Drosophila melanogaster: one gene and its partner. The protein of the gene in region 2 purifies or fractionates together with the protein of the main gene of each other region. This does not show direct contact. Each region holds a gene or a part of one and is shown on either strand. Other genes may lie near its edges.

Region 1 (8,090 bases), on a different chromosome or scaffold from region 2:
TGCTCACGCGCATCCACCAGTAGCTACGGAAAACAGAATATCAAGCATTAGGCTAGAGTTCGGACCTTGTGAATGGGGAGGCTTGGCTGGCTGGCTGACGCATGCGCTAGTTAATGGAGCTTATGCAGATGAGTACGGTCGCTCGCGAACAAGCACTGGGAATATGCACATTGTATTCGAAATGGGTGAGTGGCTTACGGTTCACGGTTCACTGTAACAGGTTATCAGGCAAAACGGTAACGGCACAACGGTTGAATTTATGGCGTATCAGGCGGTTGAAATGAAAGAAACAACGTGCCGGCCAGCAGTCAAATCATAAGCTTCATTGCACGGGAAAACGGATGCGGAGTCATCGGGTGAATTACCTAGGCTCCGGTGCAGTCACTCTCTCCCGCAATGACTTTTGCAACTCTCTCTACACTTTTCACGCTCGCTGAACGGAGGACGCGTTGTGGTGACCGCCCGGTTGGGAACGGATACCAGCAACGCAGCCATCACAGACTATTCGGGGTAATCGTATTATTTGTATTTGTTTTGTGTGGTATGTGCTTAGTGGGGAAAAAGAAGAAGCGTCGCCTCTGCCGCCGACGCTTCTACCTCCTACCGGCCGTCCGTGAGACGATCCGGATCGGGTGCGTCAGCGGTCGTGTCTGTTACCGCCACTGCAATTACGACCACATCTTTACTGTCACTGCCACTAGTCACTGCCGCGTCGACTGCAACCGAGCCCTCGACGATATCGCTGCCTTCCACACTGCCGTGACCAGCTATCCGTTTCGCACAAACCAACTCAAAAGTCTAAATGAATGGGGATAATGTGGAAACAAATGCAAATTACAAACAAGTTCGTTTAGTAAATCAACTCAATCGAATTGCATTTTATGCAACAGCTAAGCGAACGACATAGAAAACAAAAAAGAAGACCAAAGAGCCAGTTAAATAATAAAGAATTAGTTAAACCCGCAAAAAGAGAACCAATTTATGTACATTTTCATCGTATTAAGCCCGCAACTTGTTATTTTTGAAGCACAGACCCAAAGAAAGTGTTAACCATGCATAGATTTAGTATCTACGTTAGTGACATGGTCACAAGGGATAGATAAGCGCTTCAAGGTGAATGCCTCTCTAAACTCACCTCCTTTTCGAGCTCCGCGGGCTTGCCATTCCAACTGAGCACGGGGGAGCCGTATCCACGATACGATTGCTTCAGCAGCTCATTGATGGTGCTCCCATTCGAGGTGGCATTGCTCTGGTAGCCATTGCCCACCCTTGGCTGCTGGTGCGACTTGAGCGCACTGCCGTTGAGCAACTTTTGGCGCTTGGCGCCTGGCGTTGCGGGCGAGTCCGTGGAGGGCTTGCTACTCGAGAAGGGATTGCGATGGTTCTTGTTCGGCGTCGGAATTTTCACCGGCGATCCCTCCACCACCACGACGTCAACATCATCTTCGATGGCATCGACCTCATCGTTACGCGTAACTTTCCAGATACCCGTTTTCGATTTGATGACCGCTGGCGAGGGTGGCGTCTTTGGCGATGGTGGTGCTTTGCTTTGAGACTGTGATTGCTTCTGTGGGTGCCAGCCATTCGTTAGCTGAATGCTGGGCTCCTCCTCATCGTCGTCCTCATCACTGTCTGCGGACTTTTTTAGGCTCTTGAATATCTCGTCTATGGCATCAGTCTTTTGTTTGCTGTTGTTAACGTGAACCGATGACGAGGCTGAGCCGTTGGTGTGGCTGCCATTGGTCTTACTGTGACCATTGGTCTGGCCAGACTCTTGGTCCGACTCGCTAGAATCCTCCCCACTTGGACGCTTGCGGGGATTCGGTAGAGGCGCCTCCTCCTCCTCAGATGCTGATTCGTAGGGCACAAGACTTTTCAGTGGCGTTTTGACGGGAGTCTTTACTTGAATCTTTACAGGAGACTTTGCCTTAGGCTCCGTATGATTCTCCGTCATATTGGGCATGCTCGGTAGCTGGGCTGTCGTTGGTCTGGGCTTCATCTCATCCTCGATGTCTTCATCATCCGAGGAAATTGGCAGATATTGTTGCTGGTTTATTGATTTATGGTTGCTGCTGCTGTTGCTGCTTGGGGAGGAACTTTTGTTACCATTTGCAGTGGGAGCTGAAGTAGCTTCGCCTTTAGCGTGAGCGCCAACCAGTGGAGGCTTCGCAGTGTCCTGAAACTTTCCGGTACCCAGCTGGAGTCCGTTCTGTGGACTTTGCTGGTTTTGTTGCTTGAACTGGATGGCGGTTTTCTGGGCATTTCCATTAGTGTAACCGTTTGCTCCACCCGCCGGCAGTTGAGGACCAATGAAACGCGTTGGTGAAGGCGAAGACACAGTCGCCGCCGGCACTGGCGTTGTGCTGTGTCCGTTGGTCAAACGCACTCCATTGGGCCTGTTGGCCGCCGGACTGGCAGCCTGTGAGAGGTCCAGTTCGAAAAACATTATATAGGCATTTGTGTTGCACACACTGTGCATTGCGATTGGCCGCACGTAGCTGTCGTCGAAGTTGTAAAAGCTGCCCGTATCCGTGGAGCCAATGGCCGTGTAGTGACCGCAGTGCTGGGACGCCCCCAAGTGAGTGACCATCGACACCAGGCGATAGGTGAGCGGTTGAGCCTGAGCTGCTTGTGAACGGGCTGCGTATTTGCTCAAATCTATGCGTGACTTGAAGGAAATCTGCTTGGTCAGTTTGTTGCCGATCATGGAGAATCGCTTCAGCTGTATACAAAGCGTGATTGGGGCACGCTCCAAAGAGAATTGCTTTGTGGCAGATACCTGCAAGCGATACGTTTAAATAAAATGAACTACAGAACAAAGGTCACAAAGACCTACCTTCTTCTTGCATCCCTCGCACTTGTAGCCCATATCCTCTAGCCGTTCGCGAGAAAAGTGTCCCTCGAAAGCATCCTCCAAGGAGTCTGCCTTGCGGATGTCGAGCAACAGATCCTGGAAGTGCTGAAACGTAATGGACACATGGTTGCAGCTCAGACAGCGCACCTCGCTGCGCAGATAGCCGCCAAAGATCTGTCCCAGCGGCGTGGTCTCCTTAACCAACTGATCCAGCTCTTTGTAGTTACGAAACCGCATCAAATACGCCCGCTCCATGGCCTCGACCAGGAAGCGCAGGAACTCGTGCGCATCCTCTTGGCGACCAACGACCATGTGTTTGCAGATCTGCTTTAGCTTCGAGTAGATGAGGAAGGGTCTGACGGCCGACTGATTGCTTTGGGTGGCCAAAAGTGTTTTGGTCATGGCGCAAATGATGCAACCGCTGCCAGGTTCGGCCACATTGCAGTCAGCCAGATGCGCCTGCTCCGAAACGAGCCAATTGGCCAGGGCGGGTATGTGCAGGAGCGCCTGAAGCGTTGAGTTGAGGTAGCAGGTGTTGCCCACATTGATCATGCCCGTGCCCACCTGCCATTTGCGCTCCGACTGCTTCCAGCCAATGCGTATGTTCTCCCGCGGATAGAGGACCCTCTTCGGCTTGGGCAGCTCATTGGGATTGCTTGTCGGATGCTGATGATTGTGGTGGTTGATGTGGTGCGACTGATTGTTCGGGTGCTCCGCTTGCTTGCGGGCGCCGTTATTGTCTGCAAAGGTAAAGAGGACGGTAGACAGTTTAAGCACGTGCCACAGGAGAAGGCAGCAGGGAGACAGGAACAGCTTGTAGAGCAGCCACAGGGCGAACCCGTCCACCATTATCACAGTCATAATGCATTTATTGGAAGAATTCCCTTCTGCAGATTAAGTCACTTGATCCGCGCTGCTATGAAATATAAATAAAACGAGCAGTGCTCGCTGTGGAAACTGCTGACACACAATCGCGCTTCCATCACCTGTTCGCAGTGTTGGAAAGGGTACACATTTGTTGTACCTAGGCACCGGACTGTGCAGCATTAAGATAGCTATTCTATTGAACAAAGAAACTTGAACACAAAGTATACGCCGAAAAAAATTTCCAGTACTAGATTTTGAAATACAATTCTTTGAACATCGTTACAGAATGTGATATCACCAGATTTTATCTGAAAATATTTTCACAGCATCGTAATTTCATATGTACCCTGAATATGTATCTTGCAGTTTTGTTTGGGAAAGTGTACCAATCGAGGTACTTATCCTGGTACACATATCTCAGATATTACCCAGCACTATTGTATCTTTGATAACAGCTAGCGTGTGAGCGGGATGGCGACTGGCAGAAGAAGAAATTTAAACTGATAACAGCAAGCGAATGAGAGGGATGGCGAGTGGTGAAGCAGTCCAAGTGTCTGCTGCCGACGAATACAGTGGTCTCGTTCTGGCGTAGGGGGTTGGGGCGGCAGTGTTGCCAACTGAATTTTTGGCGCGACCTAACAGTGGTTGTTGTAGGCCCAATGCTCCCCCCTTTTATTGTCTTTGTAACTGTGTTCGAGGCATTGACCAGGCCAAAAAAAAGAAAAGAAAAGAAAAGTCGAAACATCGTGTAACAGCTCCTGGTGCTGAGCTTTGTGTCCACTTCCTGCTCTGTGTGAATCACTTCTGCGAGTCTGGCCTTTGTTTGTGCTCTTTTTATCACGCAAAAGCAGATTGCGGCGCATTTACCGCATCTAAAAAAATAAAGCAAAGCCAATAAAAGCACCGCTGGGGCTGGCCATGTGCGGGGGAAAGAGACGGAACTACGGAGGGGAGCCCTCGTGCTTTTTGTCTTTTTTTCCTTCTTTCATTTGCCGCTGGAAATACAGCACGTTTTTTTCCGCCACAACTTCTGTGAATCAGAAGTTTGGAAGAGGCGGCTCTGTTGTTGCTGCTGCTGCTGTCACTTTTCCAGCTTACTCTTTACGGCGTTGTACTTGTTTTGCTTTTTCCGCGTATTCCTTTGCATTCTGTTTACACGTACACCACCCAAAAACGCCGTCACACACGGACACACACGCACGCACTCACATACAGAAGCGCCTAAAAAGTACAGGTATGCTGCGCTGCCGACGTCGACTGCACTGCCGACAAAATGCAGGCGGAGCAATAAAAAAAATATGTTTGCGGAAAAACATCACACGTGATTTGTGGAGGGATATTCCCAAAAGATTTGGCAAAAACAAACGGGACGATACATAAATACATTTAAGTATATATACATCTTATATATATAATATGAAGATATAGCACATGGAAAATTGCGCAAAAATTGCCACACAAAGAAGAAACACAGACGAAGGCGCAGACGGAAAAAGCCACTTTTGCAAGCAACTTTTGGATTTTACATTTTGTTGTATCTTTACACAGTGTACTCACCATGTCCATTTGCGCCCACAAGTTTGCCTGTATTGTTTTTGCCACTAAAGCCATTGATGGCGCCTGGATTTCCCGGCTTGATGACAATATATTTGGACTTGAGGTTCTCCAGCACCGATTCGTGGTAGTTGGGCACCTCCTCGTATTCGATTTTGGCCATCAGGATGCGTTTGGCATTGGCCACGATGTGATTTTGCAGGCTGCCGTTGGTGTCCTCGCCGCTCTTGGCCTGGTCAGTCGACGAGCCGGCGGAGGAGTTGCCGCCAAGGGATTCGCGCAGCGCTGCGTTGACGACATTCGCCGTTTCGCATACGGCCATCGAAACGGGCATGGCGATGCTCCGGCTGGGGATTTGCGGTGGAATTTTGAACGGGTGTGAGGGGCGTGGTGTGGCGTGTGTTGGTGGTTTTCGCCACCCAGTTAGCTAATGCACATGGGCGTGCGATCCAAAGCAGATACTAGAGATCCTTCTGCACAGCCCACACGTCCTTCAAAACTCTCCTACTGCTCTACGCTCACTTTTCTCCTCGCCCCTCTCTCGAACACTTCTTGTTTCACACACCGACTGCGACACCGACACACGCACACTAACGCACTCGGGAGCACTCTTCTTTTTCTGGCTTTTTCGCGCTGCGATCTCGATCTGTTGGCCTACTGAGCATTACGATTAAGAAACGTTCGCTCACAAATTGATCTGTTTCAATTTCGTGCGCGGCCAGGCATTTTAGAACGAAAAGTCTGCTTTCGAAAATAATGGCAATTCCTTCCCTCGTGTTTCTTCCGACTGCGGATTCTCTTTTCGCTTCATTTTCGTCATTTGGGGATGCCAACTCGCGAGTGGCCAAGTGACGCGATAGGCCTCTCGAAATGTCCTAAAGCATTTCACGATATTTACAAAAATGTATTTCGATGTTTTCTTAACAATAAAAAATTGGTTTAAATTTAATAAGACATTTGTTACCTTGAATATGTAAGCAATATCTTATTGAAAGGCTTGCAGCGACATTTTTTATTTATGCCTACTATTCAAGTTATAAATTTAATTTTTATAACGGTATTTTTACACCTTATCAGCACATATCGATAAGTGTGATTGGGAACGACAACCCATCGGCACAATGTTGATGCAATTGTTGAGCTAGCCTTCATAATTAGTCGCAATCAATCGAGCAGAATGGCTTCATCCACAGGTCTCCTGGTGGTGTCCAACATCAAGCACCTTGGCAAATCCCTGCGAGCCATCGAGAAGTACGTGAATTCACTGTACATCCACCTAAATGTGGCGGGGTCAACGTCCACGACGTCACCAGTTCCACCGCCTCCGGTTTGGGGTCGTCTAATCTCGCAGCTGTACGCCAACAGCAGCAGCTATGTGGGCAAGCAGTTGGACCTTCGCGTCCTTGTCTCTCCCCTACGACCAGGTGCCAATGGATCCCTGAAGTTGCGCCAGCCCGTCGACCTAATCTTCTCGGATGCACATCATCCGGAGCTGTGCGACAGGCTTCGCGCGGATCTTAACATCAGCAAGCCAACAATCTTCCTGGATGACTCGGTCATCTCGGATTTAAGTGCCCAGCAGGATGACACCCAGCCGCCTAAGGTGTATCCCTCGGTTGTCCTGGGCGGAACATTCGATCGCATCCATCTGGGACACAAGATATTCCTCACCCAGGCTGTACTGCGCACCTGCAAGCGTTTGGTTGTGGGCGTAACCACCTCCGCCATGACGAAGGGTAAGACGGGCATGAATTGGCAAAATAAAACGCTTATCTTAACGACCATTCTTATCGCTGTCTGCAGGAAAGACGCTGCCGGACTTGATTTTGCCCGTGGAAGAGCGCATCGCCCGGCTAAGGGAGTTCCTGGTGGACATAGATGATACGCTGCAGTACGAAATTGTGCCCATCGATGATCCCTTTGGTCCCACGCAAGTGGATCCTGACCTGGACATGATTGTGGTCAGTGCGGAGACGTTGCGAGGAGGGCAGAAGGTCAACGAGGTACGCTCCGCTAAGCAACTGCGCGAGCTGGAGATCTTTGTGATTGACATTGTTGAAAGCAACGTGCATGATGGCATCCACGAGACCAAGGTCAGCTCGAGTAACACACGCATCGATCTGCTGGGAACCCGCTGGAGAAGGCCGGAGCCACGACCACAGCTCCCGCCGCGCCCTTACATTATTGGACTCACTGGCGGCATCGCATCTGGCAAGAGCAAGATGGGCGAGAGATTGGCCAACATGGGCGCCCACGTGATCGACTGCGATAAGGTGGCGCACGATGTTTACGAACCTGGTCAGTTGTGCTACACCCGAATTGTGCAGCACTTCGGACAGGGTATTGTTTCAGACGATGGTCGCATCGATCGGTCCAAGCTGGGACCCTTGGTGTTTGCCGATCCCAAGCAGTTGCAAGCACTCAACGGCATTGTCTGGCCGGAACTTATTGCGGAGGTTAACAGGCGGCTGGATGCACTGCGTTCCCAGGCGGACGTGCCGCGTGTGGTGGTCCTGGAGGCAGCGGTGCTGCTGCGAGCGGGCTGGGAGACCAATTGCCATGAGGTGTGGTCCATGATTGTGCCACCGGATGAGGCTGTGCGGCGGATTATTGAGCGCAACAAGTTGAGCGAAGTGGAGGCCCAAAAGCGACTGGCCAGTCAGGTGCCCAATTCTGAGATCGTGGCCAAGTCGCATGTGATATTCAGTTCGCAATGGGATCACGAATTCACCCAGAAACAGGCGGAGCGTGCGTGGAAAATGCTTACCAAGGAACTGGACTCTTACCAGAGCAGCCTTTAACCCGATGGATATTT
Region 2 (4,799 bases):
TCCCGCTTTTAGTTTCAGTCCCCGAAATGTGATGCTCTTCGGCATGATCACGCAGATATTTTGTGGTAACCTCACGGGGCACGTGGCCTCCTACGAGCTCCACGTGTTCTTCCGGTGCCTCTCCGCCGTTTGCTGTGCCCAGATGTACACGGCCGGAGGCCAAATCAGTAAGTGGCAAGACTTAGTTTAAATGTAAATGGATATGTCTAATGAATTTTTAATTATTTGCTCCTTACTACAGTGGCCGACATAACGGGGGGAAAGTACCGAACTTGCGTCTCCACACTCTTTGAGCAGTTCTGGTCTATTGGGGTAATGATGTTGCCCGGAGTTGCCAGCTTCTGGTCCAGCTGGTCCCACCTCTACATGGCCATCTCGTGGCCAACTGTGATACTAATCTATCTGTGGCAGTGAGTAATCAAAAACAGATATTGATAGCAAACTCATAGAGTTAGAGGGTTATCTAGATTCGCATAAGTAACGTATTATAAGTAACCCTCATAAAATACATTTATTATCAGGATTACTAGCCCAAAAAGGAACTGCTGTGCAGCATTCATGTGTACCAACATTTTGTGGCCCATACTGACACTTGCGTCTCGCATCCCTTTTACAGGTGGATTCCCGACTCGCCGAGATGGCTTATCGCCCGCGGACGCACACAGGACGCCAAGAAGATCTTGCTGGAGTGCGTGGAGGTGAATGGGACGGGCTACAACCTACCGCACGACATCGACCAGCAGCTGGAGCTGCAGGCGCAGACCGCCATGGACGCTCCTCCGCCGAGTGGCTGGTGGTCGATGTGGAAGGGGGAGCGAGCGGTGCGACACATTGTGTGTGTGCACCTGGCCTGGTCGCTGTACATTGTGGTCTATTACGGCATGCTGCTCAACATCCGCTCCTTCAGTCGCGACCACCTGTACATTAACACCTTTTTCGCGGGCTTCAGCGAGATGATGGGCACTTTCTTCGGGCTCTTCCTGATTCTGAAAACCACCCGCAAGTGGCTGTGGACGGGACTCTTTAACATCGTGGCAGGATGCATTGCCTACTGCGGCTGGCTGGTCCCGAAGCCCAGCGTAATTGGGCTGGATCCGAATGTAGCCCTGCTGATGTGCTCTGCCATGGTCTCGAAGATGGCCATTTCCACTACGCTCAGTATACTGACTACCTGCACGGTGGAGCTGGTTTCCGATGACAAGAAGAAGATCACTTCCTTCTCCACGATTTGCTGGGCCCGTTTCTGGCTGCTGGGAGCGCCCTTTATTGGATCCACAGTGGTCTTCGGCCAACTCATTCCCCAGACGGCCTTCGCATCTCTGGCCATTCTCGGTGGCCTGTGCACCTCCCTGATCAGCAGTCCCAGGACCCATCCCATCTCAAGACCCTCCTCGCCTGCTGCACAGGGAACCCAAAACATCACCTCGCAGTTCACCATCATTGACGGCATGGACAACAAGGGGTACAGCCCCACCTCGAAGACCATCCACTCGAACAGCACTATTTTAAAACTAAACACGCCGCAATCGAATCTACCTCCACAACTGATGCCCGGCATTTGGACGACCAAGATAACCGAGGATGGCCCACCCATGTGAACTGCCTTCAGAAAGCGTGCGTTGACAAATTAGCGGTGTGTTTGGACTTAAGATATAGAAATTTTTCTATAGCCCAGGAGTGGAGCCTCTATGATAATAAATCATATGCTGAGGGAAAGAAGCAGATGTTCAAAAAGTTAAGATATTGCTAGATTCACAGCTATGGCCGCGATCTGGTTCACTTTGGTGGTGCTGTGACTTGTAAACTATAGTCTATACAATTTGTTAGCGGTATATACTATGCGCCCGCTTTATAAGTTTATGGGCGCACTTATTGTAAGACACATTAGCTATCCTTTTTAAGAGGAAGAGTCAATATATTACTAGAATTTTCGCACACTTTTGTAGTACGTACATCAACTTCAACCTAAATCGGAGTGCTCAAGTGAGAAAGTCTCGCGCACTTGAAAACAAAATTACCTTAGGCAACACTTAAGCTAAAGCTGTGGAATAGAATCCTCGAGCAAATTATTTTAAATGGATAAATAAGCTCGCCGACAAAACCCAAACCCATACATATATTTTCCATTACCTTTAATTTTAGGGATTAGTTTATTTAGGCTATCCTCAGAAGACCTTAAATCATTCAAGTCTGGGATAAGCTTCAGCGCAGCCATAATTAGTAGTCTCATAAGAAAGTAAGTCAGATGTGGAGCACACCTTGAGAAAAAGGAGAAAGCCCAGTATTAAGCAGTCACTATTGAACCAAATCAAAAACGTACCGAATCGAACCTCACTGCACAGACAAACCATCTTTAAATGGTGATCCTTCTAAAGGCCTGTGGTTCCACATTAAGTGATTGTGTTGTAAACACCTGGAGAGAATTTCATGAAAAGACATACGAGTAGTTACACAATAATTATATATTATGGACAACTTTTATTAATTACCTTAATCTAATAATACTAATTGATTAGAACAACAATAATATTAACCTACACATTGAATAATTTACATTCGTTACGTATTGTAATTATCAATTACCAAGCTAATTTAAAATAAAACAATTAGTAGTTTTCAGGCTCTACATAAATACACAAGGCATAAATTACAATACATAATATTTTTAAAGTTGCATCACCTAGTGAATACGCTTAGCAACTTGTTGAATGTTATCATATATTGGTTACTACATAAAAGGAAGTGTTATACATGGCAAAAGAGCAATATTTTTCTAATAAAGCATCATCATAAAAACGAATTGATTTATTTTTTATCGTTGTTTGTTTTTTGTTTAATTAACGAGGGATATCTGTTATATCGATAGAAATTGAAAAAAAATATATATTAAAACAAAAAGAAGTTTTAAATTTGTAGAAGTGTGGGCGGTTTGTGGGCGTCAGAAGGGGCGTTGCTTTTGTTGGTAAATCGGTACAAATTTACAAAACCAATAAGAAAATCAAAAACATTTCCTAAAAGTGTGGGCATAGCAATCTTTGGCAGTTTGTGGGCGTGGCAAGAAGTGTTCTGGCAAATCGATAGGACCGAAGTTTGGAACCTTCATGGCCAATCTCAACTTTCTAGCTCTTATACATGCGTACTAATGTACATACATAGTTCCTGAGATCTCGAAGTTCATACGGACATGGACGGACCGATCCTGGTTAAGAATAAATAAATACTTGTTCACTATTAGTTAAATTTCCAAATATATAACTTTTCGGAATCCCGAACGGTTGAGTCGTTGAGTTACGCGGTTGCATTACAATTCTCAGAAGGCAACAAAATAGGGTGACGGTGTTGCCAGCCCTAATAAAGAGAAACATAATCGTCGAGTAGAAGTGCTCTCGTTTATGGATTTAAGAGAATGAAGTGCCTAGTTTTATACTTTAATATTAAATATTTGGACTTTCTGCGCTAATAATACGGCAGACTCCGAAAATATGTACAATACGATGCATATAAATCGTTGTTATATAAGGTCACTTTCCGAAATATATTCCTATAAGTTATTCTTTATAAAAATAATATCAAACAACAACACATCTTAACTTTATTGTGATAAAAGATGATTTTACATTTCACTACATAAAAAAATTGAGCAGTCGTCACTACTTCAATACAACATATCCAATATCAATATTTTACTGCAGCGTGTCAAATGTTTGTTTAAAAAAGCGTATTAACTGTGTCAAATGTAAAATTTTTTTTGGCACAATAATGTACTTGAAAACTTTTATATGCGATCTACCTGTGTTATACTTTAAACTTTTGACTTGTACTCTTCAAGTATCGTGTGCTAGAAATATAAAATGCAGTATTATAATACTGTGTATATCTACATAAGTAGGTAGCAAACATTATATTCTCGGTGACAAAAGTGATTATGGTAATAATACCAAAGCTACTGTTCCCTTTTTAATTCCAATTCTTTATTTTGACCGACTTTCATTTACTTGAAAATTCGTTGAAAAAAAAAATAAAGAAAAACTTGGATTTTATTTAACCATTCATAGATCGAAATATTGTGTAAGTGCAATTAAATAATGTTATTAATAACATGCTAGGTAACATTTGCCCTCTGGTATTTTTTCCCTGCTGGCAATTTGGCCACACTGTCACTTATGCTTCTTCAAATTGTAGCGGCATTTTCGCCAAAGCAACGTTGGAAATTCGCGTCACCAATTTCATATTGCGATAAATAAGAGTTTTATCCGAAAACGTATAGCTTAACTGTGTCATCGGCCTGTAGAAGAGCGCTGCCTGCCGGGATACACATATGCCATGGAATTCGACGACGCAGAAAATGGCCTAGGAATGGGATTTGGTGGTCGCGGCGTTCTGCGGGAGATCAACAAAAACGATGGCGGCATTAAGGTAAGTTAATAGCTGGACTTGGAGGCGTGCTCCGTCCGCGATGTACCAATGCAGCCACTTTCGGCAGAGGCATAATTCAACTCACACGTCTACAGGTACATATGTGTGTGTTCGGTTATGTACTTTGTACATATGTGTGGGTATGCTGCGTCGCAGGCTGTTCTGCTATTTTCTTTATTCGCAATTGTTCATCGTAAATACATATGTACATATAAATTTCCATTATTCGCTGTTCCTATTAGCTCTGAGGCAGCTGTCGCGAACGAGAGTTCTCTAGTTGATCGGTGTCCGCCGGACATTGTCCATCCCAGGTGACCAGTTTCCCCGATCTGCCATAGCCATAGGAGAATGGGCAATAAGCCGGGCAAGACACGGAAACCGAG

Evidence for each region.
Region 1: the proteins of atms (region 2) and scny purify together in Drosophila melanogaster (affinity purification with western blotting; one study listed by BioGRID). This does not show direct contact.

The regions. Positions count from the first base shown.
Region 1 is NT_037436.4:5,767,122-5,775,211, reverse strand, and holds the start of scny (scrawny), read right to left. Parts: upstream 6,211-8,090; 5' UTR 5,610-6,210; coding exon 5,279-5,609; intron 4,048-5,278; exon of another isoform or gene 3,902-4,047; coding exon of another isoform or gene 3,841-3,901; exon of another isoform or gene 3,716-3,840; coding exon of another isoform or gene 3,595-3,715; coding exon 2,837-3,594; intron 2,780-2,836; coding exon 1,136-2,779; intron 799-1,135; coding exon of another isoform or gene 601-798; exon of another isoform or gene 199-600; intron 24-198; coding exon 1-23. Other genes in the region: Ppat-Dpck (bifunctional phosphopantetheine adenylyltransferase - Dephospho-CoA kinase), read left to right, coding at 6,453-7,011, 7,079-8,076. UniProt on the Drosophila melanogaster protein: Hydrolase that deubiquitinates polyubiquitinated target proteins including imd. Required for preventing the constitutive activation of the imd/NF-kappa-B (Imd) signaling cascade under unchalleneged conditions.
Region 2 is NT_033777.3:4,748,408-4,753,206, reverse strand, and holds the start of atms (antimeros), read right to left. Parts: upstream 3,173-4,799; 5' UTR 3,153-3,172; intron 2,799-3,152; exon of another isoform or gene 2,414-2,798; 5' UTR 2,321-2,413; exon of another isoform or gene 2,259-2,320; 5' UTR 2,131-2,258; exon of another isoform or gene 1,599-2,130; coding exon of another isoform or gene 617-1,598; intron 411-616; coding exon of another isoform or gene 242-410; intron 168-241; coding exon of another isoform or gene 13-167; intron 1-12. Other genes in the region: CG44098 (uncharacterized protein), read left to right, coding at 13-167, 242-410, 617-1,598.